2 linked regions of the Canis lupus familiaris genome follow. Each later gene encodes a partner of the first gene's protein in a complex. Links are inferred from orthologs where the notes say so. Each region holds a gene or a part of one and is shown on either strand. Other genes may lie near its edges.

Region 1 (3,652 bases):
TTTATTTAATTATTTCATTTTATTTATTTTAAAGATGTATTTATTTATTCATGAGAAACACACACACACACACACACACACACACACACAGAGGCAGAGACACAGGCAGAGGGAGAAGCAGGCTCCAAGCAGGGAGCCCGACACGGGACTCGACCCCCGGTCTCCAGGATCACGCCCTGGGCTGAAGGCAGGCACTAAACCACTGTGCCACCGGCGCTGCCCCCTATTTATTTTTTTTAAATAAGGATTTTATTTATTCATGAGAGACACAGAGAGAGAGGCAGAGGCATAGGCAGAGGGAAAAGCAGGCTCCCTGCGTGGAGTGAGGAGCCTGATGTGGGACTCGATCCCAGGACCCTGGATCACAACCCAAGCCAAAGGCAGACACTCAACCACTGCGCCACCCAGGCGTCCTGACATCCATATTTTGAAACTGTTCATTCAAATTGCCCAAACATGCTGTGAAGGCCAAGAGAGATACCAAAGGGCTGGATGTGACTCACAGGCCAGCAGCTGGAATCTAGCCCCCACACTGGCACAAGCTGAACCCAGAGAGGAAGTGGCAGCTGTCCGAGCTCACTCACCCACCCACCTAGTTAGTGCTGGAGCTGGGACCTAATCATTGACTGGCTGACTGACTGCCCAAGGTGTCTGCCAAAGGTTTCTGAGCCTGAGTCGAGCCCTGTGTTGAGCTCAGTGCTCAGCATGGAATCTGCTAAAGTTTCCTCCTCCCCTAAAATAAATAAATAAGTAATTTTTAAATATTTATTTATTTATTTTAGAGAGAGAGAGAGAGAAAGTGCACAGTGGAGAGGGGCAGCAGAAGAGGGAGAGAGAAACTTTAGCAAATTCTGTGCTGAAAGCAGAGCCTGACACAGGGCTCAATCTCAGGCCTCTGAGATCAGGACCTGAGCTGAAACCAAAAGTCGGACGCTTAAGGGACTGTACCACCCAAGTGCTCCAATAAATCAATCTTAAAAAAAAAGGAGCAGGGATCCCTGGGTGGCGCAGCGGTTTGGCGCCTGCCTTTGGCCCAGGGCGTGATCCTGGAGATCCGGGATCGAATCCCACGTCGGGCTCCCGGTACATGGAGCCTGCTTCTCCCTCTGCCTGTGTCTCTGCCTCTCTCTCTCTCACTGTGTGCCTATCATAAGTAAAAATAAAAAAATAAAAAAATAAAAAAAAAATAAATAAATAAAAAAAAAAAGGAGCAGACTGAGGACAACATCGACCCTGAGGGGTACATTGCATTTCCCTCTCAGCTTACTTGATGTCCTCCTAAGAACAGGAAAGGGTTCTAGGGAAAGCACCAGTGTTCACAGCTTCCCCCAGTTTAAACTTCCAATGGCTGTCTCTACTTGTGCTTTTAGGGAAGAATCTCTGATTTGTAAAGAGGCCCATGAAGCCCTGCGGATCTGGCTCCTCATCACCCTCCCCCATCCAGACCTTCAGGGCCCCCAGGGGCCTGGGCTGACACTGGCCTCCCTCAGCTTCTTAAATCCACCAAACTCCTCCCCACCTTCTACACACTGTTCCTTTGGCTGGAAAGCGCTGTCCTCAGCTTTTAGAATAGTTGGTGCCTTCTCATCCTTAAGGTTTCTTTCTTTCTTTTTTTTTTTTTTAAGATTGTATTTATTCATGAGAAACACAGAGAAAGAGAGGCAGAGACACAGGCAGAGGGAGAATTAGGCTCCCTACAGGGAGCCCGATGTGGGACTCAATCCCCAGACTCTGGGATCATGCCCTGAACCACTGAGCCAGCAGGGTGTTCCGCATCCTTAAGGTTTCTACTTCAAAGTGATTTCCTCAGACATGAAGGCAGGAAATGGTTACCAATGGTTATCCCCACTGAATGCCCCACTTGGTGCCTCAAAAGTGCCAAGGAAGTATTTGTGCTAAGAATAATGAATGATGATGCCCTTGACTCCAGTCCCTGCCACATCGCCTCCCTCCCTTGGGGTCCGCTGCACACTGGGGTCAGGGAACTGGACTCTAGTCCCAGCCTCACTGCTTACTAACCTGTGGCCTCAGCAGTTTCCTTTTTTACTTTGTATTATGAAATATTTCAAATATACACAAATGTAGATGGAGTATAGCAAGCCCCTACTACTCATCATCCACCTTCAACAATTATCAAAATATCACCAACTCTGTTTCATCTATTCCTGCTCACCCCTATCCCTTGCTGGGTTATTTTTTACAACTTTATTGAGAAAAAATTAGATATTATAACATGCACCATTTGTAAGTATACAATTCAGTGATTTTTAGTAACTTTATGGAGTTGTGCCATGATCCCCACAACCCAGTTTCAGAACATTTCCATCGTTTTGAAAAGGTCCCTCGTGTGACCTGGGGCAATCAGCTGAACCTCTCAGTGCCTTAGTTTCCTCACCTGCAAAATGAGGACAATCATACCTTCATCCTTAGCTCACATGGTAAGTAGGTGTAAGAGTGCACATGGGAAGGGTACCAAGGCCAGAGGAAATGAGCATTGTTTTGATGATGACACAATGCTGTGCAGATCTGCAGCTGGGCTCCTCAGCAGCAGCTTCTGGGGTGTCCCAGGCTCTCGCTGAGCTTAGCTTAAAGAAGGTGTTTACCACACACTGGTTAAAATGGAAGGGTTGATCCTCCACTCTCAGAGTCCAAATTCAGCTGGTGGGGGATGCACTGGGAGGGTAAAGGGTTCCCAGCCCTGGCATGTCAACTCGGCCTAAGAGCTGGGAAAGCAAGGGTAATCCTTCCAGAGCCCCTACCTTGTGCCTGTGCCACCAGAACGCTGGCGTTCAGCTGCCACTCGATGTCCCCTTCTTCCTCAGCACACTGCTGGGACTTCTCACCATAATGCTGGGCCTGCCAGGCCTGGTCCAGCTCCAAGTAGCAGCGGCCGATCTCATGGAACAACCAGGTCTTCTCCAGGGTGGTTTTTGCCAGAGGGATCTTCTCCTCCCACCTGGGAACATGAAAAACCAGGGTCAGTTCTTTCCACGCAAACTGTTTACTCGGCCACAGTGGGCCGAGGATTCTTAGCCAGTGGTGGAATAGAACCTGTTCTCCAACTACCGGTTCTTTCAGAACGGGGGCAGAGCCAATAAGCATTCAGATATTTTAAAACTACCAAAGCCATTTTGGTACATTTACAGATGGAATCTGATACCACAATTGAAAATAATGTTTATAAACTTGCATTTCAAATAACATAAAAATAACATTGAAGAGTATTATTAAGTATATAGGAGATAAAAGCCACACAGGAAAGATGAGAATGGGAAAAAATGAGACATCAATAAAGTGAGATTAGAGTTAGATCTAGTCTTTAAGTGGTGAAACTGAATAATTTTTCTGCTACTCTTCTGCATTTTCCAAATTAATATTCTAATAATAGGCATAAGTTTCTTATATTTTCTTACAAAAAGAAATGAACGGGTAAGTGAATTCTTAAACTCATCTGTCTTTTGGCACATAGACACCAGGGGCCATCCTGAAAACCAAGTTATGTGGAACAGAAGGATCCCCATAAATGAGCCTAATCTGATCCAGCGCTGGGCACCCGGAGGACATTTGTTCTCGGTGCTATGTGAGTGGGCCCGCGGAGCCAGCCCTCCCAGTGCAGGCTTGGCCAGGTCAGGTCCTGCCCTGAGTCTCTCAG
Region 2 (3,652 bases), on another chromosome or scaffold:
TAAAATGAGGATTAATAATCCTACATCCTTTATAGGATTGTTAGGGGGATTAAATGAAGTAATATGGGGCAGTACTTAAAATACTGCCTGGCATAGATGAAGCACTGAACAAGCCCTTACTATTACAGTAATACTTATCACACTGTTGTGTACTTATTTTCCCATTGGCTTTTCTCAGGAAAATATTAGCCCTTGAATGCAGACATGGAGCCTTTCATCTGTGTTTCTGGAATACATTATGCTTTAAGAATTGCTTTCTATATGAGTGGATGAGTTTGTGAATGGGAAAAAATAGCATTAGGCTATAGTACTACTATGAAATGAATCAGCAGGTTCTTCTTCAGTTGGTTTACTCAGAAGCTATTCTCTGTGGGTGAATGTAATTCATCTGATACTTCACTCACCAAACCAAGAAGTCCTGGGTTGCTTTTCCTATATTATATATGGGTCACTGTTCAATGAAAGTAATGTCATTACCTTTGGATCAGGTAGACATGGTCCAAAAGCTTCCAGTAGAAGAGTCTCTTCTCTCACAGCCTGTTCATAGTCTGTGAAAGACAGCTTCCCATCATGGTCATGGTCCTAGGAGTTGACCAGCCATGTATCAGTCAACATGTACAACACTTATCACAAACAAACCTGTCTTTTCATGGTCAAGTGTTGACAGAAGAAAGACGTTGGAAAAATGAGAAACTAATGAAATTGAAAAGAATTTTTAATCTTATAATTAAAAAACACAATATAAGTGTTTTATTTCACCAAACAAGTAACTGATAGTTACTACAAGTTGAATTCTTAATTCTATCCCATTCTGGCCTATGAATGTCAATATAAAACCCTACATTTCCCATATTTACCATTTTTTTAAGTGTTATTTCAACCAAATCTTTAATTCCTTCATCAGGGTCTTCTTCAGATGGCTGTTTGAGAAGGCTGTTCTTCAACATATGGAACATTTCCTCCTTTGAAATGAATCCATCACCATTCAAATCAAACACTTCAAAGCAATCTTTTAAAAAAAATAACCAATTATGAATTTGATACTATGACTAAGGGAACATTTGCTCTGATAAAATTTTCAAGGCCAAAGTCTGTATTGTGGATGTCCGTGTCAACCCTGCAGGACTTAGTGCAATCTAATTTCCATGGCCAATGTTTAATGTCTATTTGTTGAATATAGTCAACAACCCTTAGAAAATGGCTCCTTACGCTCACTCAGCTATGAATAAGAAAGCCAAGGAACAATGATTTGACCATTTCATCTTAAAATTCTTAGAAAACTGACTGAAATATGATCCTTACACAGAGTTCATCAGAATGAATTAAGAATTAACTAAGAATCAGAGCACTTGAATCAGTATTCTCTACTTCCATGGTTAACAATGCAGGTAATGAAATATGTAAAATATTTAATACCTTAATACATAAATGCATATGTCATAGTATATATAGTTAATGCTTATGCAGTCTTGCTTCACATGAATTACTCCTCAGAATCTCTTGATTTTCCTTTGTATTTATTTCTTTCAATCTTTATAACTGACTTGAATTTGCTCCATAGAAGAGGCTAATGGGGATTCAAACCAACCAACCGAAAGACAAACCTATTTCAATGGCCACATTGGAAGACAATGGACATAAGTTCTTTAGATACATTAATCCTAATGTAAAAAGTTCAGGACAACCTGAAATCTTACATTTCATTTTTTCTTCCAAAGTTCCTCGAAGAAATACTGATAATCCATAAATCCACTCTGATACGTTTACATAACCATCGTTGTCCTCATCAAAACCTCGGAATACTAAGAAAGAAGCACAACATAATACTTGTGCTGAATTTTTGTTCTCAGTAATATATTTACACTGGTTCTATTCACTTTTAAAATTTGGACAAAACTCCAGGATAAGATGGTCCACCATTCTCTTTTGACAAAGGAGGAAAACTAAGACATTATAACATTGGAAAGCTCTTTTATTTAAACTCTCACACTTTCTCTTCATATTTTGTAGAAACAAAGTAAGTTCTGAGTAATCAATGATTACTAATATGTGGATATATTGTATATTAAATGTGTTGAGGGATCCCTGGTGGCGCAGCGGTTTGGCGCCTGCCTTTGGCCCAGGGCGTGATCCTGGAGACCCGGGATCGAATCCCACATCGGGCTCCTGGTGCATGGAGCCTGCTTCTCCCTCTGCCTGTGTCTCTGCCTCTCCCTCTCTCTCTCTGTAACTATCATAAATAAATAAAAATTAAAAAAAAAAAAGAAAAAAAATAAATGTGTTGATATGTTGACATAAAATATGTAATTTTATATTTTTCTTACTCAAGAAAATTAATGCTATTACATGATAAAGTTATAACTTAAATTTACTGAAATATTTTTGATGACATAAGGAAATCTATATGTCCTTTTAAAACCATTGTTTTCATTATTATATTTACGAAGTAGAAATAGAAATATTTTAGGTTTTTGGGTATAAAGTAAGGAAAATCTAATTATTCAAGCTGGACTTTGTCCTCTTCCTGAATACACAGAATAGAGTGGGTAGAGTCACCTTCACTATGACGCTTCCCTAACATACAAATTGATTTTTTATATTCAAGTGAAATTGGGAATTAAGAACATTAAGCTTCCTATCAAGAATATGTCTAAACTCCAAGATTTTTTTTCCCAGTTATGGCTGGATCTGGCCTATTTGAATATTGTATGTCTTCTTACCTCTGTCCATAATCATATCGTCTGTCATTCCAAATGTCATGTGCAGGATGTTTCGAAATGCATTGCGATCTAGTCCAATGGTGATACCTTGCCGCTCTGTTACTTCTCCCATCAAATTATAAAAAAGATCTATAAGACATTTCACTTCAAATTTATTAACTGTGAAGAAATAAGATATAACAAAAATGCATTTTAAACCTTTATTTCTAACTTAAATTTTGCATTATTGAGTTTATAGACAACATCAAGGACATCAAATATTAGTTTTCAACAGAAGACTATCCTGTTTTAAGATTCGTGACCCTTAAATTAATAAAATTAACTAAATTAATAAAGGATGGCCACTACAGAGGTTTCTCTTCTAAAATATTCTCTTTCTCTAGAGCATTTCCTCCAAAGAGGAGTTGAATATTAAATTCAGTCACATTTAGGAAGAAAAGAATAATAGCCAAGTTACCTGAATAACGATTATGAGGTCAGATGCTAAACTTTAAAGGCAGTAGAGGTGCAATCCAAAGTAAGCAAGGTAACGCTTAAGAATGGTAACTTTGCTTATAGGCGTTTATGATATTTACAACTACGCTTTTGCCTGGAGATAGATACCAGACTCCTGAACACTAGGCAACAATTTTAACTTCACATCAGCCTTAGTTAAATCAGTAAGCCAGATTTTGGACATCAGAAACCTATTTTCCAATAAAGAAGCATTTAACCATATTCCAGCACCCATTATGGTTCTTATTGCACCTGATGTGAATATTAACATGTAGGTATTTAGTATTTTGGAGGAAGGGAATTTTTATTGAAAATAAATATACGGACATATATTCTGGCCCATACACATAAATGCACAGAGTGTTTATAAACGCTGAGTTAAAAAAAAACAAAAACAAAAACAAAACAAAACAAAAAAACCGCTGAGTTAATTATTT

Evidence for each region. The genes of interacting proteins can lie anywhere in the genome.
Region 2: ODAD4 (region 1) and EFCAB1 share a complex: the UniProt entries of both Homo sapiens proteins name them as parts of the outer dynein arm-docking complex. The link is inferred for Canis lupus familiaris from reciprocal best matches to the Homo sapiens genes ODAD4 and CLXN.

The regions. Positions count from the first base shown.
Region 1 is NC_049230.1:20,778,320-20,781,971, forward strand, and holds part of ODAD4 (tetratricopeptide repeat protein 25), read right to left. Parts: intron 2,957-3,652; coding exon 2,760-2,956; intron 1-2,759. UniProt on the Homo sapiens protein: Component of the outer dynein arm-docking complex (ODA-DC) that mediates outer dynein arms (ODA) binding onto the doublet microtubule. Plays an essential role for the assembly of ODA-DC and for the docking of ODA in ciliary axoneme.
Region 2 is NC_049250.1:1,219,523-1,223,174, forward strand, and holds part of EFCAB1 (EF-hand calcium-binding domain-containing protein 1), read right to left. Parts: intron 2,880-3,652; coding exon 2,721-2,879; intron 1,803-2,720; coding exon 1,698-1,802; intron 1,010-1,697; coding exon 858-1,009; intron 583-857; coding exon 478-582; intron 1-477. UniProt on the Homo sapiens protein: Component of the outer dynein arm-docking complex (ODA-DC) that mediates outer dynein arms (ODA) binding onto the doublet microtubule. Seems to regulate the assembly of both ODAs and their axonemal docking complex onto ciliary microtubules.